Linked DNA regions of Arabidopsis thaliana. The protein of the gene in region 3 interacts with the protein of the main gene of each other region in a pairwise test. Each region holds a gene or a part of one and is shown on either strand. Other genes may lie near its edges.

The links.
Region 1: the proteins of BBX28 (region 3) and COL9 interact in a two-hybrid assay, tested with the Arabidopsis thaliana proteins (one large-scale study listed by BioGRID).
Region 2: the proteins of BBX28 (region 3) and BBX12 interact in a two-hybrid assay, tested with the Arabidopsis thaliana proteins (one large-scale study listed by BioGRID).
Region 4: the proteins of BBX28 (region 3) and AT2G25650 interact in a two-hybrid assay, tested with the Arabidopsis thaliana proteins (one large-scale study listed by BioGRID).

Annotation. Positions count from the first base shown.
Region 1 is NC_003074.8:2,437,469-2,446,562, reverse strand, and holds COL9 (CONSTANS-like 9), read right to left. Parts: upstream 4,995-9,094; 5' UTR 4,723-4,994; intron 4,101-4,722; exon of another isoform or gene 4,098-4,100; 5' UTR 4,070-4,097; coding exon 3,542-4,069; intron 3,441-3,541; coding exon 3,270-3,440; intron 3,177-3,269; coding exon 2,887-3,176; intron 2,792-2,886; coding exon 2,662-2,791; 3' UTR 2,031-2,661; downstream 1-2,030. Other genes in the region: AT3G07660 (flocculation protein (DUF1296)), read left to right, coding at 1-89, 418-915, 1,004-1,288; AT3G07640 (period circadian protein), read right to left, coding at 6,902-7,030, 7,126-7,515, 8,113-8,212, 8,286-8,392; ADT2 (arogenate dehydratase 2), read right to left, coding at 9,033-9,092.
Region 2 is NC_003071.7:14,185,094-14,193,487, forward strand, and holds BBX12 (B-box type zinc finger protein with CCT domain-containing protein), read right to left. Parts: upstream 5,162-8,394; 5' UTR 4,954-5,161; coding exon 4,237-4,953; intron 4,008-4,236; coding exon 3,858-4,007; intron 3,495-3,857; coding exon 3,247-3,494; intron 3,160-3,246; coding exon 3,066-3,159; 3' UTR 2,830-3,065; coding exon of another isoform or gene 2,827-2,829; 3' UTR 2,821-2,826; downstream 1-2,820. Other genes in the region: AT2G33490 (hydroxyproline-rich glycoprotein family protein), read left to right, coding at 1-23, 309-516, 600-842, 1,201-1,254, 1,431-2,366, 2,562-2,573.
Region 3 is NC_003075.7:13,671,706-13,679,240, reverse strand, and holds BBX28 (B-box type zinc finger family protein), read right to left. Parts: upstream 3,705-7,535; 5' UTR 3,389-3,704; coding exon 2,804-3,388; intron 2,712-2,803; coding exon 2,625-2,711; 3' UTR 2,186-2,624; downstream 1-2,185. Other genes in the region: PHOS34 (Adenine nucleotide alpha hydrolases-like superfamily protein), read left to right, coding at 374-381; AT4G27300 (S-locus lectin protein kinase family protein), read left to right, coding at 6,893-7,535.
Region 4 is NC_003071.7:10,910,926-10,918,775, reverse strand, and holds AT2G25650 (DNA-binding storekeeper protein-related transcriptional regulator), read right to left. Parts: upstream 4,266-7,850; 5' UTR 4,012-4,265; coding exon 3,775-4,011; intron 3,694-3,774; coding exon 2,770-3,693; 3' UTR 2,560-2,769; downstream 1-2,559. Other genes in the region: emb2410 (embryo defective 2410), read left to right, coding at 1-138, 253-533, 794-1,050, 1,160-1,398, 1,512-1,703, 1,795-2,067, 2,174-2,320; AT2G25640 (SPOC domain / Transcription elongation factor S-II protein), read right to left, coding at 4,868-5,068, 5,296-5,355, 5,731-5,851, 6,085-7,850. UniProt on the Arabidopsis thaliana protein: Probable transcription factor. May play redundant roles with GEBP and GPL2 in cytokinin responses by regulating the transcript levels of type-A ARR response genes. Involved in stress responses.

The DNA.
Region 1 (9,094 bases), on a different chromosome or scaffold from region 3:
GTGTTTCTCCCTTCGTTTCCCCAGGGGTTGCCTCCAAATTTAATGGGATTACAGTATTGCCTCCGCATTCATCTCAAACCATGCAAGAGGTTAGTGTAGTTTTTGGGGGTTAACCTTTTATTTTATTTTATAATTCACACCTTCACGATTTTGATCTAATTTAAGATGGTTTTGAGACTTTTTCGTTTAATTCAATCTTCCAACAGTAGCATCATCAATCAAATAGTCAAATTTTCATGTCAGCTACTTGGATCTAAGTCTCATTTTTTCTTCTTGATAAAATTGAAGTAAACCTATGGTTTCTAATTGGACTGCATATTTATATGTTCAGAAGCCCTATAACACGTTTGAAAGATAAAAATATAGCTGTTATTATTACTTTTCTGGTCTGAAATGCTTGAACATGTTGATTTGTAGGGTGGAAATAACTTGGTCCTGTCTACTGCTAGTCCACCACCACTGGTAACTCAAGCTGCTGGACTAATGCAGAGCTCTATACCTGTCACGCAGCAGCCTGTTCCTGTTTTCCGCCCTCCGGGCTTACATATGTCGCATTATCCACCAAACTACGTGCCATATGGATACTTCTCCCCATTCTATTTACCTCCCCCTACAATGCACCAATACTTAAGCAATGGTGCATATGCTCAGCAACCTCAGGCAAGCGGTGTATATCCTCCACCTCCTGGAACTGCAACAGGAGGCAAATACACACTCCCTCATTACAAGCCTGGGACTAATACAGGAAACATGACTCATGTCGGTATTACTGGTGGGTATGGACCAACATATGGGTCTTTCCCAGCAGGATATAATCCCACCTCTGCTGCATCGGCCGGGAATTCGACTTCCAATGAGGATCTCAACTCATTGCAGTTGAAAGAAAACAACGGCTACAGTACAACAGGGCAACAGGTACATATTCCCTCTCCCTCCCAAAACCAACTCAGTTGAAAGTTTAGTTCCCTTTCCTGATTAATTTATAATTGTGGGGTCTCTGCAGAGTGAAGCATTACCTGTATGGATTACTGGACCAGGACGAGATGTGCCAAGCTCTTTCTATGGTTTACAGCACCATGGGCAACACGTGACTTATGCTCCAGCACAAGCTGGTCACGTCGCATTCCCAGGTATGTACCATCCGGGACAAGCAGTAACAGCAACAGGAGTCCATCATCCGCTTTTACAACAGTCTCAAGGTGTGGCTGGAGCTGAAATGGTTGCACCTGCGCCTAACGTTTTCCAACAGCCTCAGCAAACACAGATGAATTGGCCAAGTAATTACTGAAACAGGAAGTATAAAGGAGAAAAAGATTTTGAAGATTCAACAAGTTTCAAATTCCAGAGAAATCAGGAAAGATATATGGGTGCGGGTTTTTGTTGACTTGCGTGTGTGTGTGTGTGCCATCTAACAAATTACCAAAGAGATGAAGCTATGAAGTTGAAGGCTTAAGCATGAAGGAGATTTACAGAGAGAATGATCATAAGGGTAGGGAAAGGTATTGTATGAAACCAGTGTTTTGGTGTTTTCTATATCTTTTTTTTTTTCTTTTGATTTAGCAAATTTTTTTCTTTCTTAGCTTTTAAGAGGTCTTTTTTAGCTCTCTTTTTAAGTTTCTGAGCTAAGACAAGAACTTTGCTACCTGAGTCTGTATCTGAAGACTCTTCCTCTCTTCCTTCTTTTCTTAGCCTTTGGTCAATGTTTTCAAATCCGAGTCAGCAATCAAATTGGACAAATTTCTTGCTCGCGAATCAACTTTCTCTGAATGTTTATTCCTCAATTCGAAAATTAAGGCTTGTGAATATGAGTCTTCAAGAAAATTCACATTAAGTTGTAAAATCCGAAATACTCCAAATATAAATGTTAAAAACTTTTGGTCCATATGTCATCTTGAAAACTACTGTTTTGCATCTCAATCACTTTTGATAAGTGTTCAAAATTGACATAGTAGAAGCTAAGTTTAAGTAAACAGCGATAAAGCGCCTAAACTCACATAAATGGACTCCCCTTTATAATCTGACATTTAAATAATAAAGTTCAGATGTTTTGCATTGCCTCATTGTTGGATCAACCTCTTGAAGTTACTACAAACCAAAATCTCGTTAAACTTGAACTAGTACTAGTCGGTTGTTACAGAACGAGACTTAGGTTAAGTGGTACCACATAACTTTCTTTGTCTATAGAAGAATGTGGATAATGTCTTTAATTTACAAGAATGCCGAGTACAAAACAGAAAAACATTTATGAGTATACAAACAAATACAAAGGCATATACAACAATCACATATTGTTTAAATTACTCTAAATCTCCTTCCCTGCCTTTTTAACTACCAAGAGAAGAACAAAATTCATGGAACCCTGATCAGTGTGAGACGCCTGAAGAAGAAGAAGAAGAAACCGGAGTTTGGACAAGGAAAGTCAGAGAATAATCCCTCTGGTCAAGAATGAAGCTTCTGAGGCCAAAAAAAACGATTGAATCCCAAGAATGAATGATTGCTTACAAGAGTCAGTCTTGAAATCTGTTCATGCTACAGTAGTCTTGTTTTGTTACTAACCCACAATTTTCCAAGTTGCTCACTTGAAACTGCCCATAAGTCAAAACCTTTCTTGTTCGATTCTTCGCCATGTATATATATCTATGTACCTTTCAAAAGGAGTCTTCAATAACTTCTGGTTGGGGTGAGAGGGTCGTAATCATAAGCTTCACCAGCTTTGACAAATCGCCCCTTTACACGCCGTCTCACATCAGCTCTTGCTTTGCGGGAAGCATACCTCACTCTCTTATCAAACCTGTTTCCAGAAAAAAGAAGCCAGAGTCACATTAGGAAAATCCTGCACTCACTTCAATGATGCTCATGTATTTGCAGTTTCAGACTACTACTTACTTGCGAGCCTTCTTCTTCTCCTTGTAACGCATAACTGCGTTATTACGGGTTACTGAATGTGAGCAGGCATTGTTATCCTGTAATGTTGGAGGATACCATGGTGGCTCCCCCGAGAGCTGTATGGAAGATGATGCACCACATTCTTGGAAATCTCCAGCACTACTTTCTCCAGTGACTCCAGAGAAGGATATGTTCGAATGTGCTGGCTTCGATGCGAAGCAAATTATTGGCTCAGTTTTCGAACTCATGAACGAATCATTACTGCCTGCTGGCTGCACCGAATTCCCTCCCTGGATTGAGCAAAAACAAGAGAGCATTATTAGAATCACACAGAGATGCATCCAATTTGATAAATCTAAGAAGAAAGGGTAATGGATAAAAACCTCTGGAGCTGTTTGGTGCTTATGGAAAAGGCTATCGATTCCACCATGCCCGAATAGCTCTTCAGAGGGGTTAAAGGCGGTACCAAAGAGTTCTTCATAGTTCTCAAGTGCCATGTCAACTTCATCCATACCAAGGTTCCCGTAGAAGTCATCTTCACACATTCCAACATCCTTTAAACCAAAACAAACAACAACTCTGAATTTAGTAAAGAAATGATAGATATGTATATCCATGGATGCAAAAGTAATAACATATTGAGAAAAAAAGTTACCTTAGCAGAAGATGATTTTCCTTGTGGTACAGAACTGGTTTCAGGAATTGAAGAGGATCCAACCAAGACATCTTTCTTATCCTCATTACAAGTTTTCTTGTCGGTAGGACCATCATCGTCTATATTCATCATACCCAGTTCTTGTTCACAAATAGATTGTCCAGCTAAGTCCAAACAGAAAGACCAAATGGAAGCGAGTTCTGAGCTGGAAGGGCAACCCGAATAGCAACTTATGGTTTGCCTCTTATGCTGCTGCGGCGAAGTAGAAGAAGACGAAGAATTGTTGTTGTTGCTGTTGTTGTGGCCAGACCAGTCACAGTTTTGACAGAGTGAAACCCTTTCTTCAACACACCTGACAGTAGCAGGCTGAGCATTGCATCTCTCGCAGACAAGTGTCCGAGAATGTCGTTTGGACAATGCATTAGCGGAATGAACACTCCGGTCACAGGAGAGACACAAACAAGCTGCATCGGATCGACAGTACACCATAGATCTTTGTTCACCACAGAAGTCACACATGTAACCCATCTTCCTTGGCTCTGACCAAATCAACTTTCTGCTGTCCAAAAAAGTAAACAAATTATTAGATGAAAAAGAGAGAGACTTTTGGTTCAAAAAAGCAAGCCTTGAAGAAGAAATAGATGGAATCTTTCTGAATATAGGTAGTAATTTCTAAAAAAAGGTTGTAGGAGATTAATAACCAAAGGAGAAGGATAAAAAAGGGAAAGGAAACCTACTTTCATGAGATTTTACTCAATACAGAGCTTTTATTATAAACAAGAGTCAGAGACCAAAACCTACAAATGGATATTACTGAAAATCGAAATAAATTAATAAAACAACAACAACTCAAGCTTCAAAGTATAAACCCCAGATCAGTAAATCTAGAGATTTTGTTTGACTTACTAGTTCAAATGGAACTGAATCGAAAAAATCTGAATTTCCAATAAATAACGAAAACTTTTGGATCAATCCCAATCATCATCATCCGAACAAGTTTTAAAACCCCAAATCAAAAGATCCAATTCAACAAAAATCAAAACCAACCCTTCATCGATATACAATGAATAATCAATCACTAACACCAATTATACAACAGATAGCAAGAAAATAAGAACACACTTGGGATTATTAAAATCAGAAAAGAAAAGACAGAGGGAGAAGAGAAACAAACAACTCACGTAAAGAAGATCCTTCTTGTGGACTACTACTATCTTCTTCAGAAGTTGAATCCAGAAACTTTAGAGACAAATAAACAAAGCCTAGAAACAGAGAAGATGATGACTATTCCAGAACTTCTTCTTCTTCTTCTTCTTCTTCTTCTTCTTGTTGTGGCTTCTCTCTCTCTCTCTGGAGGAAGAAATGAAAAAAAAAAATGAATGGATAGACAATGGGTGGGTGTGTCCGCAAAGGGACATGTAGGCGCTTCTGACATAATCTGATTTATCAAAAGTGCCTAATTTCCTTCCTTCTCTTTCTTTTTTTTATTAATTAAAAAGACGAAAAAGTGCAAAAAAGTTCGTGTAGGGTATTGTGGGTCCCTCTCGTATTTATAGTGAAAGCAATAAAATTTTTATGGATATTTCTTAAAGATATTACTATTAGAAAGAAAAGAAAAAAAGGTTGTATGTTTTTTACTCACGCGCATGCGAGTATTGAAGATAATCTACTCGCGACGTGGAAGTTACCAAGTGGCTAGTTTGTGCCATAATGGATTCTCAAGCGTTCACTTTTTTGATGCTTTTCGACGAATCAGAATTCAGAAAATCTCCCTCTCTCTCTCTCTCTCAGTCTCAGATAATAATAATAATAATTGATAAATCTGTTTGCTTTGACCTTACAAAAGCCAAAAATATCTTCTTCTTCTTCATTTTTCGGTGGGCGTATATAACAAAAATATCTTCTTTTGGTAGAACAAATAAAATAAATTAATGATATTTATCATTGAGGGGAGAGAGAACTGAATGAAAACCAAAAAATATCTGCCAAGTTAGATACGTCTGTATAACTCTTTCAGACCAGAAAGATATTTCACACTACGTCTACGTACTACTAGCCTTTGCCCCAATATTCTTCATAAAAATAATAATCATAAAGTCGCTGAAAAATAATGAAATCAATATGATAGATCTCTCTTTTGTCCTTTTTCTTTCCTCATATTAATATTGTTCACCGGTTTACTTAAACCCATTTCTTTATTTCGATTTCTTGGGTACTCGATATCGATTTATTAAATTGAGTAATATAAAAAAGCAAAACATGATAGACCAAATATGAAAGAATGATGGTTAAGTCTTGGATGAAACCCCACCTCCATTTTTTTAAGTGTCTGACTGTTTTCACATGTTTACAATTTAAGTTCCTATTGAATATACGATTTAGTACCACTAAATAATTGATCATAACTTCAGTTCAAAGTTTATAATTACAAGATGAGAAGTCGAATTGAAATGATGCATTGTTAATCAGAAAACTATTGTTTTTGAAATTGAGCAAGTGTTAATTTTTAAACTCATATAATATAGTATTAGTTAATGGTGAGTTAATATTGTGTTTCGTTCTCAATTAAGAAAACATCAAAATGAATTGCTCTTTATCCAGACTCGTATGTATCCAATCAAAGACGAATGATCAAAGACCCTAATTGGTTAAAATATTAACAAATCTGCCTGGCAAATAAGTGAATAGTAGTCATCTAATCAAATGATAATGAAAGCGAAAAGGCGACGATAAGACGCACTAAAAAGATCGAACAAGATATATAAAAACAACAAACAAAAAAAATAACATATGATGCTGAAATGTCAGTAGGATAAGATTCTCGGACGATCCGAAAAACTTTGGTACAAAACATCGTATTCCTTCTTCTTCATCAATATCCTATTATTAAACAACCGGCTTAGCAGTTAGCAGAGCTGACGACACCTCACTTATTTTCTCTTAAGATAACATTAACTATCTCTATTACTATACTTCATGAGTGCCTTTTATGGACTTCACACCAATTTTAATCTCTCTTTTTTTATGCCTCTCCCACCAATCATAACTCTAATCATTTGTATTATATTAAGTAATCCCACTCCTATGTTATGATCCTCCCATGAGTTGACCAAATATATGTACCTTTAAATCAAAATGCTTCTGAGAGTTTAAGATTTGGTTGAACCAAGTCAGCCCAAAAAAAAAGAAACTGTTTCTTTCATAAATAAATATCCTAGAAAAAGCAGAGTGACGTGGATTTGGTTCTGCTGAGCATAAGAATTTTAACAAAAGGGTACTACTACAATAGGGAAATTTACTGCAGGTCCAAGCAAAGACTGTAGCAGTGTTGGGCCATGAAAAAGACCTGACCTGTGAAGATTAGCCATAAAGAGCACGCCACGGACTTTCTTCTTCTTTTGATGTCTTTGATGCGCTCCACTTGATTCTGTCTCTTGAGAAAGACAGTCCTGTCCAACTAGCCACGAGCTCCCCTGTTTCATGGATCACCTGTGATGACAACAACAACACAAACTCGTTATTCAGCTGAAATCAACCAGCGAAAAACAAGCATAAACTGAGACAAAATTACTAAGTAAAATTACCTGAAGCTCTTCGTCTAGAGCTTTATGAGTTAGGCTATTGCTTCTTTGGCCTATGAGAATAGCGGTAGGCAGGCGTTTAACACGAGCTAGATGAAGCAAGCATGACAAAGGTTCATAATGGATCTGCATCGATAGTGGTGGTTTCTCGATGCGAGAAGCAAATAACCTACTGGTCTCTGTTTCTGTAGCAACTTGAACGTAATGAAGACTAGCTTTTCTGTTATTTGCTTCCAGGGATCTGTTATTGAACTTGAGCTTAGATGCCGCCACAAAGAAAGGAGCTATGATTGTGGGTAGAGTTGACGATCCCCTTGTAATTAGGTCCAGCAGTTCATTCATAGCACACACTAGTACTGGAGGCTCATAACTTCGAAGAAGAAAAATCGAGACCTTAAACAATATAAGAAATAGTCCGAAAGTTAAGCAATGAAATCATAGTCCAGAAATACACATTCAACAGAGAAACAAGAAAACATGATATCAAGTCTTGCAAGTTGCAAGATAACCAATTTGGGGATAATATTATCATCAAGGGCCAAAATCTGACCAAGCTTAGAAGACAGTCCAATATCATAAGTTAGGTTCCATTTAGCTGACAGACTGAAGAAAAGGCATTTGTTATTGCTTTTTCACTAGCCAAGTCAACACCTCTAAGCACTCTAACTTAAGCATATATAGAGACTTAGTTTTTTTTCTCATAAGGCTTTAGTTTCGGCAAATACAATTTAATGAAGACAAATCATAGTAACAGTTGCACATCCTTAAGAATCCAATCATCATATCACATTTTGCAGGTAAACAGAGTCGACTAATCAGAAAGTAATCAATCTTGTACAAATTAAGGAGACCACTATTCTTCAGCTTAACTATATCACTGAATAAAATTTCAGTTCTAAGAACAAACAACGACTATAAATAAAGCGAGAAACGAACTCAATTAAACTATGAAGATTAATAGAATATAAACGCGATTTAAAGAGGAGGAACCTGATAAACTTCATTTTCATCTACGAAATGAACGATACTCCCGCCGGTTTCCACACCTTCAACGCCATACTTATCCAACGGAAGCTGGATCTGTTCTTCTCTGCAGGAATTACAATGTTAGGCGGAGATAGTAAGTAAAAGGCGGAAATCGAGAAAGGACGAGTCGAGTTTACAGTTTGCGAAGAGGGGAACTAGGGCTAGGGTTTAAAGTATCAGAAATGGTTGCAGCAAATCCATCGGAATCATTCCAGAGGAAAACAATCTTCTCCGCTACTTTCATCGTTTTGAGAACTGAGCGAATCTGTTTAATCCTGTTTTTGGCTTATTGCACAAGAAGCGATTATTGTTTAATCCTTCCAAAATTCTGATTTCTTGTTATTTGTCATCTAGTCCCTATTTTTCCCAATGTTTTAAAATCTGAACCAAAAGAAAATTGGATGATATATGATTTTTTTATTTTTTTTTTTTTTGTGAACAGGAAAACAGATTATATCTCGTTTATTAACTCAAAGATATACCACTAACAATAGTCAATCAAAATTTTGAAACGTCATACAAAAAGAAATTTCTAAAAAAGACACAGGATAAGTATCTATGTATGGATGAAACACGAAAAAACACTAGTTCTTTGGTATTTGTCATTGATATCTGACTTAGTGACTACATTCTTACTAAAAACAAAGATGATCTTTTTTGGAAAACTAAACAGAATTTGTAACAAGAGCGGAATGTCTTGTAAGGTGGTGACTCCTCTCAGACCTCACCTCAGGGATATAGCTCCTTATACCAGGATTATGATATCATCAAGCGGATCTCTGTCACAAACTATTCAAATATTTCACCTCACTTGATATAATTTTACTAACTCAGATCCGAAATGCAAACCAATGAACTATTTACCAAGAAGATGTTTGAAATGTTTAGAGCATTGTAGTGTCCACTGGGTAGCTTCCCAGTACCCGCAAAAAGGTAGCAAACTCCT
Region 2 (8,394 bases), on a different chromosome or scaffold from region 3:
CAGCGGCTTTGTGATGAGAAAAGGTTTTTCTTGCCTCATCTTCTTATTCATTTCTCAACACCTATTAGTGAGACATGAAATAATATCTTAAATGTATTACCTTACTATAATTGAAATAAAGAACTTAACGTTACACCTATATTTTGTTCAGTTTTTAGAGATACATGAGTTTTGCAGAAATCTGATTGGCCTCATGAGGGGATTACCGTTCCATAGTTATTAAATTATCTCCTCCTATCAACATGTCCTTATATCTTAGTGGGCAAAAAGTATTTTATTCAATTATTCATGGAACTCTTACCTTTCAGGAATGTTTATGAAGGCATGCTTACAAGACAAAGAGAGAAAGGGAGATCAAAGGGTGGGAAAGGAGAAACTTTTTCGCCACAGCAACTACAAGAAGCTCATGATGATTATGAAAACGAGACGACTTTATTTGTTTTCCGTTTAAAATCCCTGAAACAAGGGCAAACACGTAGTCTTTTGACTCAGGCAGCAAGGCACCATGCAGCACAGGTTTCATCTTGGGCTGTTTTTCATCTTTCTGTTTCGATCACCAGAGCACTCTGTTGATATCACTTTTTTGTGTGGTTTTGCAGTTATGCTTCTTCAAGAAGGCTCTTAGTTCCCTTGAAGAAGTGGACCCACATGTACAGATGGTAACCGAGTCACAGCATATTGATTACCATTTCAGCGGATTAGAAGATGATGACGGGGATGATGAAATTGAAAACAATGAGAACGATGGTTCTGAGGTGCATGATGATGGAGAGTTGAGTTTTGAATATAGAGTTAATGACAAGGACCAAGATGCGGATTCTTCAGCTGGTGGCTCCTCAGAGGTGATGGTTTCATATGTTTACGGTTCTGATGATATTTCCTGTTTATCCTTTTTAGTGCATTGGTTATCACTAATAGAATAGTGATATTCGATGTTCCAATGTTTCTCCCAAAGGTGACCTAAGAAATTATAAATGAGGTTAATACAGGAAGCAATTTGAATCTTTTATCAACAAAAAGGTCATATGGAGAAGAACATTTTTTTCTGGACCACTTGCTGCTAGAGATGACGAATGATGAATGCCATTTAAAATAGATCGGTTGAAATTGTTTAGATTATCAGTCTTGAGTAATTTGAATCTTGTGCTATTTTATTTCTTAAACCCGTTTGCTTAATAAATGTTTGCCTAATGCATGCAGTTGGGTAACTCAGACATCACATTTCCACAAATTGGAGGACCATATACTGCACAGGTAACACAACCATGCTTTATTTTTGATCACATCTTCTCTGCTTTTCCTTTCAAATGACGCAGACAAATTCTCAGGAAGCTCATAGTTCAAGGAATTTAATTTCTTTCATCTTTACCACGAAAACCACCCAATTTATTTCTCTCTTACCAGTCTTTGTCTTTTTATTTATTTACCAGGAAAATGAGGAAGGAAATTACAGAAAATCTCATTCGTTTAGGAGAGATGTAAGGGCAGTGAGCCAATCAGCACCACTTTTTCCCGAGAACCGCACAACTCCTCCTTCAGAAAAGCTGTTACGGATGCGATCAACTCTGACACGGAAATTCAACACTTATGCATTGCCAACTCCTGTGGAAACAACGAGAAGTCCCTCATCTACTACAAGTCCAGGTCACAAAAACGTGGGGTCATCTAATCCTACAAAGGCAATTACAAAGCAGATTTGGTATTCATCCCCACTTGAAACTCGCGGACCTGCAAAGGTTTCCTCAAGATCAATGGTAGCCTTGAAAGAACAAGTCCTGAGAGAGAGTAACAAGAATACATCTCGGTTGCCTCCGCCTTTAGCAGATGGACTCTTGTTCTCTCGTCTCGGTACACTCAAGAGACGATCCTTCTCTGGTCCACTGACAAGTAAACCGTTACCGAACAAGCCTCTCTCTACAACATCTCACTTATACTCTGGTCCGATCCCAAGGAATCCAGTTTCTAAATTGCCAAAAGTGTCATCATCTCCAACTGCTTCCCCTACATTTGTCTCAACCCCAAAAATAAGTGAGCTCCATGAGCTTCCTAGACCACCACCAAGAAGCTCTACTAAGTCCTCTAGGGAATTGGGATATTCAGCTCCCTTGGTTTCGAGGAGCCAATTGCTTAGTAAACCTCTTATTACAAATTCAGCTTCTCCTCTTCCTATACCACCTGCAATCACTCGTAGCTTCTCTATACCTACTAGCAACCTTAGAGCATCAGATTTAGATATGTCTAAGACAAGTCTGGGCACTAAAAAGTTAGGCACTCCCTCGCCTCCTTTAACCCCAATGTCATTGATCCATCCACCGCCACAGGCTCTTCCCGAACGTGCAGACCACCTAATGATGTCCAAACAAGAGGTAAACCATTAATTTTACTTCTTTTCACTGTCTATTAGTTTTTTGTGTGGTTTAGAGTAAAAAAGTCATCATGTGTGTCACGTTTAAGTAGATGTGGGCAATCCGATTTTTGGTTCCCTTCATGTGTTCCGCAAAGTTCTGCTTAAGTGTAAAATCTAGAATTGCTGATATACGTTCTAATTGGTGAATTTGCAGAGGAGGATTTAAGATGTAAGGTGTAAGACGTTTGTAGCTGCCTAAAAACTGTAGGAGGAAGGCATTCCCTATAGTTGCAGATATATGTAAATATCCTCCAATTTTTAGTCTCATGGATGATCTTAGTTGTATATTACATATAGTAGTTGATCCCTTTTGAGAATGATGACAAAAATAGAGGCAAACAGAGTTAATAATAATTGCCTGAGGAATTTTGGTTTTTCTACTATCACTCAACGAAGCTTTTTTTTTTTTTTTTGTCCAGTGATGTGACATGTTTTACGTCCGAGATTTACGGGTTTAACTTCTGTGGAGTCTGTCTTCTTTTGATTGGGTTAAGAAACTTTGCTTCTAGAAGGTTAAACGTAAAAATTACAAAAATCTGGCCACACATTATGCAGCTGAAGATCGATCATTTACATTTACAAGGTAGTTGAAAGTAGAAAAAACAAAAAAAGTTCCTAACTTAGGATCTCAAATGTAAAACCTAACGTGGAGAGACATCTAAGGATCTGTAGCTTTCACAAATCTGCCCTTAACACGCAACCTGGTCTCGGCTCTCGCCTTCCTCGTTTCATATCTTATGGTCTTATCATATCTGCTGAAGCAATTACAAATTAGCGATTTCGAAAGACAATCAACTTACAAAAGGGAAACTAAAAGAAAAAATGGAGAACATCATTACCTCCGCGTTTTCTTCTTTTCCTTGTACCGCTGCATAGCATTATCTCTGTTCTGTGCCATCTGCTCTAGATCAGCATTCGTTACCGCCACCAATCTTGTGGCTCTATTACTAGTAATAGCAATATGTTCCGTGCAATGCAAGCCACAGGAGTCGTTAGAACTTTTATGCGAGTGAATGGCAGCAGGAATATTGTTGCTCTTAGATGTTTCCTGTCCCTTGGTAGAAGTTGAGTGGACGGAATCCTCCTGCTACATTCTACTTATAAGTATCACAGTTCACCGACAAAGATATACCAAAAATAGTAGTTTGACTTATCAATTATGATATAAATACATCAGGTTTCATTCATTCCAAGATGTTCTAACCAATAGAAATAAACCCATGAGATGTAGCTACTACCAGACCAGTATATCAGTCACCAACTTAAGCTATATATGAGGGAATATTCAAATGTTTAAGGTATGGAGTGTTTTGGGATTGAATTTAGGGATCGGGGGAGTTTATTGTCTATAGAACAAACTCTAATTACGTTCTGCAATGTGCGTTGTGTTTGTCAATTTGTGAGATAAATAAAATGGTTTACAATTCCAAACCTAATAACAATGTAATACCTGGTAACTCTCTTTGAAAGCATTCATATTGGTGGTTCGGGTATCGTTCTTGAGATGAGTAACGTTGTTGAATGTGAAAGTAGAGCCTTTAGTTTCGACTGGACTAGGTTCATCAGGGTTCCTCGACTGTCCCAAGTTAAAATCCCATATCTGCAACAACGTATATTCCACTGTGAACCCCAGGCCATAAAACAGAGTCTTATCTCTAATTAGGACAACCAAGAAAGAATAATCAACGTTCCGACAGGTAACTTAACAGATTTGGAGACCTAAAGATCCAACTGAAGTTACTGTAACATGTTCTAAGCACAAAAGCAAGAACACATGACCAAACTTAAAACCCTAAAATCAATTGCCAGAGAGAGATAGAGAAATGGACCTGAGTGTTCTGGCCAGTGCTATGATTAGTAGCATTCCATTGCATACCATTACCACAAAGACTTTGAGACATAAGCAAAGAAGTAAACGACGTCGTCGGAGATGGCTGAGAAATGCTTCCTCCGCCATTGATTCCCTCCGGAACCATAATCTCTCCTTCGCCTTCAACGAAGCCTCTCTTCAGTAACTCAAGCTGTTCAAACACTACCTGCTTAGACCTCCCAAAGCTAAAGCTTTGCTTTTTGCAAGACACATCATAAGGAACAATCAGTTCTTGAACGATGTTAGATCCAGAACCCCACGAATCCAACCCCATCCCAAAATTCTTAGTCAATTCGTCTTCGTCATCTTCTTTCTTCTTACCCTTTAAATCGATTCCCCACACAGCAGCAAGCTCCAAAACCGAAGGACAACCTGAAAACCCTTCCACGGCGGAGCGTTCATGCGTCGCGGAGGAGGAACAGCTTCCGTGAACATCCCAATCACACTCCTGACACAATACGAGATTATCTGTGAAGCAACGTACGGACACCGGCTCTTTGCTACAGTTATCACAGATCTGAGAACGAACATGCTTCCTCGAGAGAAGGTTCGCCGAGTGCACGTGCTGGTCACAAGGCAAACAAAGCTTCGCCGTATCGGCTCTACAAAACAGAACCGCCGTTCTCTCGCCGCAAAATTCACACGCCACCACACTCTCTGTAGTAGAAGTACCCATTTTGTGTTTAAGATGGTACCTTCACAATCCCTTAAAATCTCGCTGATTTTATACAGTGGAGAATAAGATCAAGATGACGAAAGGTGATGAAGTGATCGATGGAAGAAGAAGAAGATGACATAGACATAATCTCAAAGTCTCAAGCTTTCGGTTTTGCAGTGAAAGGAGAAGAAGAAGATGTCATTAATTGAAAATATCTAACTGTTGTACCGGAAATAAAGTTGCATTTACATAGGTAATTAATTACTTGAGAAATAATTGGCTGCATTACAGTGTATGGATTTAGGCACATTAATTGGCTGCCTTTCTTTCAGATCCACGCACAAGGATTTTAGCCCATGTTTCTGCTAAGCCCAATTCTAAGCCCATTATTTGGATGGGACGTTAGGATGTTAACGACATGATCGATAAGGAGAATATTTCACATGTACGAAGTTTACTAACTCGTAAATCGTTCCAGATGATCATTATTTGGCAATTTAGAAAACAAATAAGTCAATATATATATACTAGGAACATATCCTAAATCCAGCCATGAATTCACACCAAGTATCCAAATATCCAAAAATCTTGCAAGTTCTGTTGTAGCACATCTTGAAACATTGTGCAATGTCATTTTGAATGTCAATAACAACATTCTATTTTTGACATTGGTATCTTGGTAACGAGATTGCTTTCTTGGTCTCTTTTAGAAAGGTTATTATCTTTTAGTCGAATATCAATAACATATCTCTAAGAATTGTCCAAAACTCAAGATGTTTGTCCATAGGTTTGGAATATAGTAAACGTTGGAAATAAATTACTGATTTCCACTTTTCAATCGGATGAGGATGTGTTTTTTACCTTTTACATCCATCTTTGATTCATCTCTTAAAGCCATGTTTTCTCTCATTGATTCATCAAGCTCAGCGAACATAATTTTCCTCCCACACATGTGTCGCTTTCACCTATGTGACAAATCATTATTGGTTGTGTACTTGTGTTGTTATATGAATAGAAGATGAATGGTGTTACAATCATTGCCCATTATGTGGTGCGAGAAACAAAACATCCAACCTTTGCTATTTTCCTATGCCCTAAGGTTTTTTCACATGTTACTTAGCTATTATGTGTTTCAAACTCACTTGGAATGGATATTCTATATTCTTACTTTTACGAATTTTGATTCTTTATTATGTAGAAAACCTACAGAAAATCACGTTGTAAATTCGGTTTCGAAACCATAAAGGACTTCAATATTCAACTATTCTTTAACAAGTGAACTTTTATCATCTATATCACTTAAATCTTTATTCTCTATATCACTTGAATTCATAATAGAGAAACGAAAATTTAACTAAACACAACCTTTAAAGAACCCTTAAAAAGTAATTAAAAAAGAAGGAAAGTGAATTATACTAAACAAAAGATTATGTTAAAATTCGGATTCTTAAAAATCTTCTAGGGAAAAAAAAGCAAAATGGAATATGGATTCGATAAGGAAGGAAGGAGAGGAGACCCACACACAAGAACAGAGTGACAGACACAATTTGGCGTCTCTTTCGATCTGAAACATCTCTGTCTCTCCTCAGAGATTCCCTTCTTAGGTCCCATTGTCTCTCTTTCTGTATATTACAACTCTTGCAAACCTTTCTACCACCAAGATAAAATTATTATTTGGTAAAAAGCAATATCTTTAATTTTCTAGGAAAAAAGAAAGAAAGAACAACACTGGATTGAAGTGGTCGTCGCTTTCTCTTTCTACACTTCCAACAGATTCCCTTTTGCACTTCTCTCTTTCACTCTTTTCACTATTTTTGTTTTATCATTATTTTGTTTACGGAAACGTCATTTTCCTCCAGACAATACCTTTATTCCCTATATATATAATGGTATGGTGTAAAAATGTTATTGCCACTGTATATATTGGTCTATCACAATTCCTTCTCTTTATCTTCCTTTTTGTATTTTTGCAGCAACAACAAAAACGTAATTTATAGTTAGGTAGTTATCTTTCTTTGCATGTTTTGTGTATGTACGTAACTAAGAATGGTAAGTTTTTTTTGTTTTCCCTCGATTTTACCAGTTCAATAATAAACGTTATGCAATCTGAAGTTAATTATACATACATCTACCTAATATTCTATTAAACCATACTATATAGATATAGCATGCTTCATGTTAGTACCTAATATCTTATATAGTTATATATCACATGGTCTTCAATTGTTTGGGTGAGAAAACTATATTTATTGGCTTTCTTTTCTCATCTTTTTCATTCCTTTGTGTATTGTTGTTTCGTAAACTTTTTAGGATGAAAGTAGGAACATGGTGATCATGGTCTTGACTTTTGTAGTTTTTATTTTTGACGTGATGTTCTTGGCTTTATTATTCAAAAGATGAGTGAAGTGAGGCATCAATATATGATAGTTTTCACAAATTTAATAATTGCAGCTAAAGATCGAGAGCCTTTGCCCACATAAAAAATACTTTACTCTAATGTGTTAAAACAAATGTTGACATTTTGCATTTACTTTCTTTATAATTTGGTTGACTTTCTCTAAAATAAAAATCTTTAGTTCTTCAATTATTTTGCTCCACCCATCATATTGCATTATTAGGCTTTAGCTATTTTAAATTGTCATCTCACGGCCAGATTCATTTCATTTTCGAGGTTAGTACTTGCTGTCGTATAGTCATTCCATCCTGAAAATATCATCCTGTTTGCTATTGACTTTCGATGTATGCACCAAACCTCAAGCTAGCCATCGAGTTTTAGATTTGAACTCACATATAACATATTCTTATAAATATTTATTGGATTAAGGTTATAGTTTGTTGTATTCACTCTATTCAAATATGAATGGATTAGATGAATATGTAAAAGGTGACCGTCTTAGCAAGAAGATTGATGTGTTATGCATTAGACTATGTGAAAAATCGTATATTGAATGTAATCGTGACTATACGTGCATGAGATGAAAGTGATAATGTGTGATCGATTTATAAAAATATAAGTATGAGGCTATGTGATCTGGTTTTGATTGAGTGATTTGTGGATCTCAATTAATGTTTGTAGACGAGAATGATCTTCTAGATTGAATGAGTTGAAAGCCGTGGTAAGTCCTAGTTATCATTGGATGAAGGAGGAGATTTATAGATTTTTGGATGTTTCGAGTAGATATTAAACAGTAGAACATAGTTGGATTTAAATTTTAGTAAAGGCTTAATGGCTTTAGGATATTATAAAGTTGATCATGAACAATATTTAGGTTGGACGGTTCAAGTTTCTCATGAATCAAATATTCAAGTGCTAATTGCCGAAAGGAAATACTGAACCGAATTCGAACTGAACAACCACAAAAAACAGCTAATGTAAATTTGTTTGAGAATATTTTTGATAAGAACTTGAATCCAATTCGAAACCGAAATTGTACCAAACTTTTTATATTTTATATCACA
Region 3 (7,535 bases):
TTGGTGGCATTTTGTAAAACTTGACTAGGGAAAAACTTGAGAATAGAGTGATATAGAAATCATAAGCACTTCTCTTTGTTTGATCTAGCTAGTCTATTGCTAAGACAGCCTTTGTTATACACTTTTCTAGACATATGATAACTGTGCGTAAGATGATGCAAAATAGCTATGAATTGTCAAAGCCTAGGTTTGCAAAAGAAAATGTACATGATCTTTTCTTGATTGACTCCTCTTGTGAATCTTAGTTTCAACTCTTACAAGTTGACACTTGTAGAAGGATATTTGACATCAAGCTAATTAATTAAAACAAGGTTGTCTGGGTATGATTTTATTATCCAAAGCGAATAACTATTGAGCCCTCTTCCTTTTACAGATGAGTAAAGTGCCTTAGTATCTCATCAGGTTCACCCTCTTCACAGTCAGGTAAAATATAAACAACCTTTTCAACTTTGAGTGGTCTCCACCGACCATTCTTTCGGGTTTTTTTCTTATTCTTTTGGAATTCGTAGGTACAACGATGGATGAAACAAAACGGATTTGTGCAGAGGAGTGTGTTTGTGTGTTTGTTTATTGCTATCTTTTGCAATATTGAAAAGTCTCTGGAATCTCCTCTGGATTATTTATTCCCAGTCCTTGTTCTTCTTATAATTCTCCATGTATGATTTTCACATTTAAACAATGCCCTTTTCCATGTATGACTTTCACATTTAAACAATACCCTTTTGGGGTTATGACCTTAATCTTCAATCTAATTTGATATCCGATGAGATACTAAAAGATGGAATCTATTTTGGTTTTTAACACTTAAAACAAATCGACCAAAGTATTCAATTATTCATACTAATTGTTCATCCGTTTCCAACATTTATGTTACAACATAGATTATTTACAACATTTATGTCACTCACACTTTACACATAATAATATGGTATGAATTAATGTTAAAAAGGATATGCTCAACTCTGTCCTCTTTGCATGGTTTCCATTCTAGATAAATATCTGCACAGAGGATGTTTTTATTGTTCCTTTTTCATTATTGTGATCTACACTGGCTGACTTAGAGCTCTTCCGCACTTCTCTTTCCCTAACAACTCAAAGTTTCTTAAAAGAGAAAAAAAAACAAGTTTGCTAAAGAATTATCATGACAAGAAAATCAATTTAGAAGAAAAGCACAAAGGAACAAAAAGAAGAGAAGAGAAATTCACATATGTATTGTGACAATTCTCGATTCTCATGCATACATTTTCTCATGAGGAAGCTACCAAATATGGAACTAATCAAAAAATCATTTCTATACTCTCGCATGTTTAATTTATTGATCCAGTCATAGAGTTTCAAATGACAAGTTTCATATCTCCTGTTTCCAGTTTTGAATTATTATATTTGGAATTGACGATGTCGTGTGAATGTAAATTACGTTATGGTTGAATAAAATGAATGAATGTTAGGTTTGTAGTTAATTAGTGTAGTTTAATCTAATAGTCAAACTCAACGTACGGGATAAAGACTGATCCGTTAGGTTTTTGGTTTGACTTTAGGAATTGGAACTATGGACTAATGGTTGAAGTATTTGACGCTAGTCATGCGTTGATAGTGAAACCCAGCGAATTTCCTAACAAATATTTTCTACTTTCTTATATCGATTTTATAATGAGTTTAAATTTCGAATGTTTTGTTTTGTTTTGTTGGAATCGTATAAAAACTTATAAATTGAAACAATATAAGAATTTGCGTTAAAAGAATATGTAGTTTAAATGAGAACCACATGTTTTATTCAAATTAATTCGAGAGAGACCCAACTGTCCAACCCCCACAACACCAGTTCCTCGGTAAGCCAGAGAATCAAGTGGTTAAAAAAAAGAAGGGATAAACGGTTTTGATGTATGTATATAGGACCCAAATGACACACACGAAACCAATAGGAGTAAAATTTTAAATTAAAATCGAAAGAACTATGGTGAACAAAGATGTGATCCTGTCATGTGAATGAAGAACATGGTGAGATAACGTTATAAGGTAAAACATGGGGGTGTCAATATTTTATGGACCATCAAACACAGTTCACAGACGCGGCAGATATGACAGGTTCAATGTTCTTGGCGAATGAATGTAACCTCAAGGACCCATTACATTATAAAAATCTCTCGAAATTTTATCATATTTAATTTCATTTTCTTTGTAGTCCCCACAATTGAGTGGTCGAAATTACAAAGCAAATCATATACTTTATTTTTACGGTATGTGTATACCATTGTGTCCATCTGCCACCAATCTCTCCCCCATTCCTTTTGATCCATTGAATATAATCATATAACATAAGTCATAAACTTACGAATCGAAATTAATTTACTTACGTAGATTAACAAAAAAAAAATCAACATAATAATGATATTGATAAGAAAAATAAAAAGTTAAGATTTGATTTTGTACGACATTCAAAGAAAGAAAGAAACTACCTCATCTCTAAAACAAAGTATTGTCAGAAAACTGAACGGTGGTGATTTACTTAAACAAGAAAAAAAAAGGAATCAACGGCTGAGATCTCTTCTTGTTTTGGAGATCGCAAAGATCGGAGAAGACGATGTATCGGCGCCGTTCATTCTGACGATACGGTAGAGTGTGAGTTAAACAACAACCGTTGATTTAAACGCCGATCGCTTCAACGGCCGAGAATAGTTTGACCCTTGAGCTGAAGAGCTTCCGATCTCATCCTGCATTTTCCAAAACAACGAAACCGATAATTAAAACCAAAACTTTCTCTGTTAATTTCCCGACAAAATAGTTAAAAAAGATAGATCCATACATCGGAGCAGAGAAGATCTGAATTCTCTCTAGCCCTCGTCCTCTTCGTCACTGAACCTCCGCTTCCTCCGTCAGAAGATGAAGAACTCATCACCGGAGGAACTTGCGCCGCCGCAGACCACGGCACAACTTGATTCTCCGCTTCCTCATCATCACCATCCTCATCATCATCCTCATCCTCATCGTCGCTGTACTCTTCATCCTCATCTTCTTCCTCATCATCATCGTAAGACTCCGCGTCGTCACCGTCACCGTGATCTTCTCTAATCCGATCTTCTTCGGACTCGAAACTATTAACCTCCTCCTGACCACGATTCTCCGATAAAACTCTGTTTCCACGGCCACCGCCGGCGTTTTTAAGAGCGACGCATGACTCGCAGACGGAGAAAGTTGGGCCAAGACGAAGCCCAGTAGCTTTCCACGGCGTAAGAGACTGACAAGCGCTACAGAGAAGACAACGCGTGTGTTTAGCTACCAAGAAATTAGCGCCGTGAACTTTACCGTCGCAATCCCAACATAAACTAGCTTGATCTGACTCGCAATACATTCTTGCAACACCGTTACATAAATCACACTTCTTCCCCATTTTAATCAAAATCAAACTCTTTCTCTCTTTCAAGTTTCTGTGGTTGTTCGTTTTGTGTCTATGCTTTGGTTCCTTGGAGAGATAAGGAAAGAAGAAGAAGAATAGGAAAGTGCAAGTTGCAGGATTTGGGATATTTTTCGTGGCGAGTTTTCTGTGATTCAACAATTCTTTGGAGGCTAGTTTCGTCTTTTTCTGCCTTCTGCTAAAAAATCTATTTCTCTTCTTTGGTTTCACAATGACTCTATTTTATATAGCACCTTCCTTTTTTTTTTATTCTGTGGTTAGTATCCATTTCATTTCAATTTAACTTTGTAATAACGTATAGTATTTAATCAATTAAGGATTGGTTCAACTTAAAAATCTTTTTGCTTTAGAGATGGGTTTATCACTTTAACCTTTATTTGAGATTTTTGTTTGGATAATTATCAGATCTATATCTGCTGCAATTATTTAAATTACTTGAGTCAGTAATGTTTTCTTTATTGTTTTTAGCTTTATCCTTGTGTTTTATTTTTTCTTGTGGATAAAAAATACTGTTTCACATTTTCTACTTAGAATCATTACAGTTTAAGTAAAACACATTAATTATGCGTTATTAGGATAAATAAGTTTAAATGATTTTTGAAAACCAGTTATTAATGCGTATGGGCCAAAGCCAAACCCCGTTTGTACGTGGCGACAAACTCATGGTTCAGTTTCGAGATATTTTTTTGGGAGAGATTTATTTAGTCGATGACGTGGCGAGATCTCAGCCGGGGAAGGAGGAGAGCGAGATTCTGTCCCGTCCTACGTGGACGAATCAGGTTCTCAATGGGCTTCGTAGCCACGTGAGCCCACCTGGGATTTGTCTGGACCATAACACAAGTTTAATGGGCCCCACGTATCTTTGTTCAATTATCTTTCCCTCTTTTTTTATAAACCACTTGTTTTGTTTTTTACTTCTCTCCCATACTTCTTCGCTTCCCAAACTGATCCAAAACATCTGTGTTTCTTGCGAGGATAAGATAACAATGAATTTTTAAATTACAAAATAATATATCGGTATTGGGGGAGAATAAAAAACTTTCTAATATGGTACATAGTAGGCGAGTATTTGTTTACTTGGACTATAATTGTTTAATGTTTTTTTTTTTTGTTAGATATGGTTATTTAATCGTATAGTTGATTTATTTGTGGCTCTCACGAACCCATTGTAAGAAAAACAAATGTTGATTAAACTCTGGCCACATAAAAGATTGTGCTTATGTGGAATGCTTTGATTTGGGGAAATCCTACGTGGCGATCGACGGTGGTGTGAAGAATCAAAGGAAGATGAGATGTCATGATGAGAGCCACGGATACACAAAGTCTCTGGTGAGTGGGTGTGGTTGTGGTTATGGCTCATTATTGTGGCTTTTCTTTTTCTTTTTTTCCTCCATTGTGTGGATAAGAATTTTGGAACAAGTCAGAACTTTGAAGAAGAGAGATTCATATTCAAAATGTGTGTGTATATATAATATTGTCAGAATAGTTCAAATACATCCCTTCTTGTTCTCATCTTTTAAGAGATGTGGCATGTATCATGTATGTATGGGGCTATGCGATATGCAGTATTGATGCCAATTTTTGTCAAAAGAGTTTTTTTTTGTGTGTTTTATTAAAAAAAAATATTCCAAATAAAATTAAACGCCAAAATTTGAAAAACTAGCTGTTTGTTTTCTGTTTATCTTTGATTTTATTAACTTAACTATTCAACCACTAAAATTAAAAATGCTGGATTGTTTGTTGTTTTAAACCAGCTTAATGAATATAAAAGCACGCCTATTTTGTTTGATTGGTGATCGATCTAAATATCTAATAGTCTAGTCATCCCATCCAATTTGGATTCGAAATCCTATCTTTGGTTAGAACGATCAAATTATGCCAATTTGTTTGTTAAACATATATATTTATTAGAAGACTACCATTTCATTTTAATTTAGAGAAGTAACCAATGGTTTCGCTTATGTCAAAGTCTTTGATTCAAGGATCGATAAAATTTGAATAAGAAAATGTTGTAACGAACAAATGAACATTCAATGATCCATCAATAAATGTTTTATGTATATATATATATATATATATATTCTATATTTGAATAAAACCAATCAATAATTCTACTAATGCTCCCTACAGAAAAACCACACGTTAAAAACCCTTAAAATATATCGACACGATTGTGAGAAAAAGACTAGCAAAGAGACAATGCATAAGCTAAGAAGGCCTAAGGGATGATGATTAACATGGGCCTCTTTTTGTACACGTTTTTTCTTTCCTTTCCTTCTTTGCGTTCACGTTTCTTGGTACACGTATCTCTTACAGTCTCCACGTTGAAGTGTAAGCATTACAGAGCTCTCTCGCTAGAGACAACGATGATCTTATACCTGTTACGTTCATGTGCCAAAATTAGGTCTTCATTTTCTATTGGTACATGTCAGTTTGGGCCATCCGGTCACTATTATACACATATGGTCTATATTTTTAAAAAAACTTCTTACTTGCCAAATAATTGGTCCACTAAAAAATAGTCGGAAATTACAATAAACCGGACCCTTAAAATCAATAGGAAAACTCTGGATCTTGGCTTCAACTACTATTGTTGTAAACTAATGTTTTTTCGCCTCCAAATTCCAATCTCTATTTTCCTAGTGAAATACATTTTATTAACAAATTTGCGAATATGTTAAAGATTTTGAATACTAGTAGCCAAAAGAAAAAAAAAAGAAAAAACTGTTGTTCATGGAGGCTTATTTAATTTCTAGAAACGAAGTTTCTGTTCGATAGAGGTTCATCTCGATCGATCATCAAGGAATCGACTTGGAGAAAATAGACAAGAAAAGGTTTCAGTCCACTACGAAAAGCATACTTAAGAAAATGGAAGCGTGGGCCGTATATGGGCCTTAAAACAATTAGATACAGGCCAGCTACGTCTCTAAGTTGAGTAGTATTTGCGTTGACTGAGCCATGTCACGTCAGGACTTCACCTGTGGGTCGCCAACGATTGGCTATATCCACCAGATCAATAATGCAATGCATGAATTTTACTTGAATCGTCGCAATGTACATATCAAACTATCAATGATCTGATTCTGACCACTCGCTCCCTTATATGGTGACTAAGTCAAGGAAGATTAGCCACATCTATTTATTGCTTTTGTCCTTGCTAGGCTTATACACTCTTAATCTGAGAAACTTCCAACATGGCCATCAAAACTTAATGAGGAATCATATCTTGTCTCTGGCGTTCAAACAAAACACCCTAATAATTTTTTTTTTCATTCTGAAGAAAAGTTTTATCATTGAAGTTCAACATCCACAGACAATCTGCATTGAATTTATCTTGACTTGTCGCTTATGCCAAGTTGGGTTGTACGAAGTTGACAAAAAAAATAAAAAAATCTGTATGTGATTTTCATAATGTGTATTATAATGATTGCTTTATTTAGTAAAGAGTCACAAAACTAGAAAGAAAAAAGGTTTCATTCGATGAGAGAAATTCATTCTCTGTTTTCGTTATCTCTGTTCTTAATTTCATCTTCTCTCTCTGTTGCTTTGGATTATAATGTCATCACTCCAAAAGAATTCCTTAAGGATGGAGATACCCTTAGTTCTCCAGACCAGGTTTTCCAACTTGGGTTCTTTAGTCTTGACCAAGAAGAGCAACCTCAACATCGGTTTCTTGGCTTGTGGTACATGGAACCATTTGCAGTCGTTTGGGTGGCCAACCGAAACAACCCTCTCTACGGCACATCTGGATTCTTAAACTTGAGTTCCCTTGGCGATCTTCAGCTATTCGACGGTGAACACAAAGCCTTGTGGTCATCATCATCATCATCAACAAAAGCTTCTAAAACAGCAAATAATCCTCTCTTGAAGATATCATGTTCAGGGAATCTCATATCTAGTGACGGAGAAGAAGCTGTGTTGTGGCAGAGTTTTGATTATCCCATGAATACAATACTCGCGGGTATGAAGCTTGGGAAAAACTTCAAGACACAAATGGAATGGTCTCTATCATCTTGGAAAACCCTAAAAGATCCATCACCAGGTGATTTCACGTTGTCTCTAGACACTCGAGGTTTACCACAATTGATCTTAAGGAAGAATGGAGATTCGAGTTATTCCTATC
Region 4 (7,850 bases), on a different chromosome or scaffold from region 3:
AAGGGTTTATACTGGAATATTTTAGATGCAGGAGAAGTTAGACTGGAGGCAGACATCAAGGATGGGGGAATGACTTTGTTAACAGCCATATCTCCTTATGCTAATTGGCTCCAAGGAAATGCTGATATCAGGCTTCAGGTTGGCCATTGTCCTCTTGTTGTGTTGTCTTTACATTGTAAGATAGTTAAATTGATCTGCCATGTCCTCAAATTCTGACTAAATTCATTTACGCATAACCTATCTGCTGAGCAGGTCGGAGGTACAGTAGACCATCCAGTGCTTGATGGGTCTGCTTCATTCCACAGGGCGTCTATCTCTTCACCTGTGCTTCGTAAACCGCTCACAAACTTTGGTGGAACCTTACATGTTAAATCAAACAGGTTGTGCATCACCTCACTGGAAAGCAGGGTAAGTAGAAAGGGAAAGCTGGTTGTTAAAGGAAATCTTCCCCTTAGATCAAATGAAGCATCTGCTGGTGATGGAATAGAGCTCAAATGTGAAGTTCTAGAAGTACGAGCAAAGAATTTTTTAAGGTATACTCTGCAATATCAACGCTGCTGTCAATCATTTTAAGCTTTTAGTACATAATTTTGATTTATCTTTCTTACTTTAACTATTGATATATCTTGATGGGTACATACTTTATCGTGGATCAGTTTTGTTAATTTTATATATCTAGACTGCATGCTGAGATACTGTATCGTCTAGGTTTCTTCCATTTTGCTCTTCTAGACTCATGTTACTGAGCTTATTACTTTTTCTGATTCCGTGAGAGATCGTGTTGCCATATCAGTTGTCAGGTTGATACTCAGCTGCAAATTACTGGATCAATGTTGCAGCCAACTATATCAGGAAATATTAAATTAAGCCAAGGAGAAGCTTATCTGCCTCATGATAAGGGTGGTGGAGCTGCCCCTTTAAATAGATTGGCAGCCAATCAGTATAGTATTCCAGGTGCTGCTATTAATCAAGCAGTTTCTTCACGATATTTTGCTCGATTTTTTGGCACTGAACGGGCTTCTTCAGGGATGAAATTCTCTCAGTCGACTGGTAACCTACATGTTTACTAGCAAAATTTCTACGTTTTTTTCTATTTTAGTATTTGGACTTTGTATGTAAACACTTTTGTAATGATCTCGGTTTGTTTTGCCTGCAACAGGTAAATCAAATTCTGTTGAAAAGGAGATTGAAGAAGTGAAAATGAAACCAAATATGGATATCCGTCTGAGTGATATGAAACTTGTTTTAGGACCAGAGCTGAGGATAATGTACCCTTTAATTCTTAATTTTGCTGTTAGTGGTGAGCTTGAACTTGATGGCATGGCTCATCCAAAATTTATCAAACCAAAGGGTGTCCTAACATTCGAAAACGGAGATGTCAATCTTGTGGCTACTCAGGTTTTGCCTAAATCTCTGTTTTGATTTTATGTGGTGAACTCATTCATTCCATAATTCTTGCAAAGCCAACATGTCCTCGAGTAACCAACATCTATTTTGTTTTCTAAACACAGGTACGTCTGAAGAGGGAGCATCTCAACGTTGCAAAGTTTGAGCCTGAACATGGACTAGATCCTCTGCTAGATTTAGCCTTAGTTGGTTCAGAATGGCAATTTAGGGTTCAAAGTCGTGCCAGTAATTGGCAGGACAAACTTGTCGTGACTTCAACACGTTCTGTTGAACAGGATGCTCTCTCACCTTCGGAGGTAAATTTGAAGTTAAAATGTAGCTGTATTTTGGAAATTGTTGTGTTTTCTTCTTGATGGAAATCTCTGTTTAATAATCTCCCTTTCGCAGGCTGCAAAGGTGTTTGAGAGCCAATTAGCAGAATCCATATTAGAAGGAGATGGACAACTTGCTTTCAAAAAACTTGCAACCGCAACACTTGGAACCATAATGCCAAGGATAGAAGGAAAAGGAGAGTTTGGTCAGGCGAGATGGAGGTTGGTGTATGCTCCGCAGATCCCAAGTTTACTCTCTGTTGATCCAACTGTGGATCCTCTCAAGTCTCTGGCGAGCAACATATCATTTGGAACGGAAGTTGAAGTGCAGCTCGGAAAACGTCTTCAGGTCAGGCATAAACATTGAAATCTTCTTTCTTCTCCATATGGCCTCATTTTTTTCAAAACCTAACCAAAATAAGCACTCCACGGTTCTTGCTGTCTTTTATCTACAGGCCTCTGTGGTAAGACAGATGAAAGATTCTGAGATGGCAATGCAATGGACACTTATTTACCAGCTCACGAGCCGCTTGCGTGTCCTTCTGCAATCTGCACCTTCCAAACGTTTGCTTTTTGAATACTCTGCTACATCACAAGACTAAATCCTTTTGTCTTCCTCTGTCGGATTCATATGGATATAAGCCGTTTGTTGCAAAGGAAGTGCATTTTGGAATAGCATGGTTTTGGTGACTACCGACAAGAAAAATTATTTTATTATTTGGTCAGTCTTTCTTTGTGCACTTCTTCTGGCCTTTTAGTGGTTAAAAATGTAAAAATTACATTGTAAATGCCTTTTGTTAGGGAATGCATATAAAATGTTTTGCCACTTCATTGACTGATTGGTGCAACAAGAAAGTAATGAAATTTATTATATCCAACAATGGACATGGATGGCTCTTCTGGATACTTCAGTTAAAACTGGAATGTCTTACAAACACTTGCCCAAACAGAACAAAGACAACATCCAAAGATATACACTGAACAGACTAAAGCTTATGGCTTACTAAGAACCTAATTAACACCAAATGCTACAACGGCTTATTGGTTTCATCTAACTATCATTAGCTGCCTCTGCAAGCTTGGCGGAAAATCTAAGCTTCTTGATATTCAATCTTCTTTCCTCAACACATAACGCTTTCCATTCATCACTCAACTCTCTTCTTTTTCCAGTTCCAAGGTTCATCAGCTTCTCAAGCTGCAACTTCTTTTGATAACCACTTAAACCTTGCGACATTACAGCCTCAAATGCATCCTGCACAGCGCATAACTCATCATCATCATCGTCATCATGTCTCTCTTTTCCACCAGTAGTCCCGTTCTCTGTTGTTTTCGCTGCCCCATTCTCATTTACAAGTTCAGTATTAGCCACTTCCTCATGCTCCTTCAACATCTCCTCACTCTCGCTCTCGCTCTGCTGTGCTATTTGAGTAGTCCCGTTATTGTCTCTTATATTCTCTGCACCATTCTCATTAAAGGGTTCCTCATGCTCCTTCAACATCTCCTCCTCGCTCTCGCTCTCGAGCTGCTGTGCTTTCCGAGCAGTCTCGTCGTTGTCTCTTATCTCCTCTGCACCATTCTCATTTAACGTTTCCTCATGCTCCTTTAACATCTCCTCCCCACTCTCGTTCTCCTGTGCTATTCGAGCAGTCCCATTTTCAGCTGCGCCATTTCCGTTTACATCGTGCTCCTTCACCATCTCCTTATCCATACCATCATCATTACCAAATTCACCTTGTCCCCAAATCATCGAAGAAAATCCAAAGGCTTCAGAATCACTAGACCTAGTAAATTTCGGATCATTCCCTTCACTGATTTTCTCCCAATGAACATGAAATCTCCTTTTCAACTTCCTGATCTTACTCAAAACCTGCTCCTTGGAGAATTTCGCAACGATAGAACTTCCGAGGAAACTGTAAAACGCATCCCAATCAATTTTGGGATTGAATCCTGTCTTAGCTCTGTAATCAACTAATCCCTGAGAAATTTCGAATCTGGTTTTGAGAAAATCAGAATGCAAAACCAAATCAAAGTGTAACGGAGAAGATGAATAGAATACCTTTAAGATAGAGAGCTCATCTTCCTCGTTCCAGATCCGGACGATCAACGGCGGACCCAAATTCTTCTTCTTCTTCTTCTTTTTCTTCTTCATAGTCTCTTCGCCTGCTTCTGCTGCGAAGGAAGCAGCAGCACGCTTTGAGGAAGGATTCCGTGGAGATTCTCGATGGGAGAGGGTATCGTCGGAGTTATCACCACCACCACAGGAAGAGAAATCGATCTGCTTCGGAGTCACCATGGTAATTGCTTTACACTTGCTGATTCTAGAGGCATGCAGAGAAACCCTAAATCAGGAAATCATATTAACAAAATTGATCAGTGATTCCCAAATTTTCACGACCTTTAAAAAGTGAAACCCGAGAGAAAAAAAAGCTAGTCTTTCCAAATTTCTGAATCGAGCTGGTCAAAAAATATCATGACTGAAATTTTCTCTGCACTTCTGTTTTATAGTATAATCGATAGGAGTGGATTTTGTTACTTTTGTACTTTTTGTTACAGAAAGGAGCAATATATTAGCGGGCTGCGCAAGCCCATCTTACTAATAAAGTGCCAAATATCGGTGACTGTTGAGAGAAAATCACAAAATTTGGAAAGCAGTGTTGCCTGCAACAGAAAATGCATAACAAACACAAAATTGCTAAGGTGAAACAAAAAACAATTAATATCCTCCTCTGCCATCCTGATGAGACCACCACTCACTACATGGTCTAACCATCGAGCCACCATTTACATGAGTAACCCCAAGAGTCCAGTTAGATTGAGGCTGCCACTCTGGTAGTATATCATTGTCATTATCATTATAACTTTGGTTCCTCAAAGGTTCAGATTTTCCATATTTTTGAATAAGCTCTCTTACAGATACAGACCGGCTTGTCCGGTTCACGACAACATCCCCACTGGAAAAATAGTTAAATTCAGGCAAGTCATCATCTTCATCCCGAGCCATGGTCATTGGGCCAAACCCCGGTGGCACATCATCACCATCGTCATTGTTGACCTGTAGCATGTTACTGTAACGAGAAGTATTATATGTGGTTAACGAAGAACCCTTTTCACGGTGGTTCTTGTGAGAGTTGTTAGATAGTGGTGATTTTTTAAATTGTGTGTCTTCTCCATACAACAACACCTATAAGACCATCATCATTTATAGATTTCAAGAAATCGAGTTGGTTTCTCGGAACAATCTTGTTTAGAATCTCGACAGTTCTCCCACGGGTTGGGCATAGGTATAGCTCAACTCCTGAAGCTGGTTCTGCATAACCCACCCTCCCATCTTTAGCGTATGAATCCACCACCTGTATAGTAACAAAACCAAATGCCCAAATTTCGTTACCAAGTTAGACATTCTACAGATATTTAGGAGTGTTTCAATTTAAATTCGGTTTGGGTTTTCAGTTTGTACAGATTCGCGTTCAGTTTTGATCAAATAAATCATTAATATTCAAATAAATCTCAAGTTTTTTTAATCATCTTTTCGTTTATTTGGATACACAGAATCTTGGTTAACTACCAACGCTCATACCTCGGAAATGTTCTCTTGTTCTGTCTTTGAGCACTCTTCTTTGCAGACGAAACACATAACCTGTAACACGAAAGCAAGGTTTCAGAAGTACCATGATGGATAAACGAGTTCATCACATACATATAGAATCGAGAACAAACAGGTCTTAGTTTTATTGGAATATGGAGGCCTATTCAAGAAACATAAGCTATGCAATTGTTCTGGTGAAAATATTTTTGTAAGTCCATCTATCTCCATTGTGATTCACAGATGTAATGTATTTTTCTCAATCATTCACAAATCAGTATTGGCCGTTAATCTCTCCTCTTCTTTCCTAAATGCTTCTACTTAAGCTTGGTTAAACGTCACAGTTAATAGCTTTTGCAGGGGCTCAAACACAGAATGCGTATATAAAACATGTACATTAATGATAGAGGTAAACGTGTAGACAAATACCATTACAGCACGACTCCTGGAATTTGGGAGCTCTCGAACAAACTTCTCAAATGCATCTAATCTGACTCTACCCTTAATCTCGAGCAAAATAGGCCACTCTTTTGTAGTAGTCTTTTCGCCACTGTGAAGCGTAAAAATCAGGTTGGTAAACATGGTATCAATAACAGCGAAGCCATATTCATTAAAAAAACATTTTATAGAGCTGATAAGCACTAGAATAGTATAGATAAGTAGTAACATGTAGACTAAATAAAGAAAGCTATTCATATATGCAAACCTAAATTTGGAAATGTGGAATAAAAAAAAAATACTGAGATAGGTTTGCTACCACTCATGAAACAATTTATTACAAACCTTCTTAGAATGCCGATGACAGAGCTCACAGTAGAAGGACTCAGCTGGAGCACACCTTCCCATAAACGTTCACCATCAGGTATGAAAACAGATGTAGTTTTGGATTTCAAATCAGAACTAGGCTTTGACGATACTATGTCAGCATCCTCAGCGTTAACAGGTGATGATGCCTTAGCCGTAAGTGGTGACAATGCCTCAGCCTTAACTGGTGATGTACAAAGATCAATATTAGCACTTTCTTTGGGTGATGAAACTAAAACCTCCTCTACATCATTATTATCTGAAACAGAAGGTTTTTTCTCAGTATCTGAAGACAAAAAGCCAGACGGAGATTCAGAATCTATGGATGACATGAATTCATCAAGAGAGACAATTGGAGGAAGAGATCCAGTGGCAGCCTGCATCTCATCATCTATTGTGACTCCGTTTATTGGCCCAGTGCTCTCATTAGAGCTGTTCAATTCATTCTTGACTCCAAGAGTTTTCGTGATGGAAGGGGTTTTCTTCTTAAAATTCTTTGTTCGAGACCAGTTAATCGAACTCATTCCAACAGAGACCTCTACAGAACCACTATCCATTGGTTCAACTTCCACTTGGAACTCTCCTTTGTGTGTTTTCCTTACTAGGCTTCTGATATCCACCTCAGTGTCCTGCAGAACAACCATCTGAGCCATCTCTTCTGCTTTTGCTTGTCGCCACTCAGCTAGTTCCTTTGAAGCAAGTTCCTCTGCTGACATGGAACACAATCGCTCTGCTGCAATTTCTCCATACATAACTTTTTCCCTGAGTTTAGGATTACTCTTGTCTTTCAAATTGAACAAGAGAGACCTTCCTTTCTCTTTATATTTCTTATTTACACCACCAAATAACTTAAAGAGTTCTGTCTCTATTTCAAATGCCAAAACTTGTGGATCCAGTAACAATTTTTCCAGGCTCCCATCATTAGCCATTGCACCAATCATTTCATTTTGACAATTGACAGTAAACTCAATGTCCGACTCGAGAGCCCAAGAGAGGTCATTCCCTTGCAAAAGATCATCTTTTGAAAACACATTGTCACTATATGAAACATTGTCTTGCACAAACGGTTTTACAGCCTCAGGTACTTGGGCATCACTTGTCTTGGCGATAGACAAAATCTCCGGTAACACTGTCTGAACAGAGATACCCGCAACAGGACTAGGATCACTGAGGGTCAGCATCTCAGTACTTCCATTAGATACCATCACATCAACTCCAGAAGCAGCTGACACTGGCCCACTAACATGACCTTCTAGAGGATTAGCTACAGTCTCACTATCTAACATTTTCGACTCGTTAGGAACATCCATTTGACACTGTACCATTGCCAATGCACCAGCTAAAGATTCTCTCATTTTAGACCTCACAGAACCAGACGACTCACTTTGAGGTTTCAGCAACATCGGTTTCTGTAAAGTCGGTTTTCTCGCCGCAGCTTGCTTCCCAGGTTTACTAAAAGAAACAAAACTATTCTTACTAACAAACGAAGCAGGCAAATACTGTGTTCTAGGGGAAACAGAAGATAACTGCACAGGCATTGGAGCAGACGCCCACGGTCGACCTTCCATAGGTAATGCCATCCGTTTATTTTGCACAGAAGGATGCAACGGAGATTTCCGCTTACCAGGTAACAGAGTCTTATCCATATTAACTGATCCTAAACCAACAACACTAGGCAACATTACATGAAAATCTTGTCTCCCACCAGAGATATGACTACAGATTGGTTGTGACAATCTCATTTC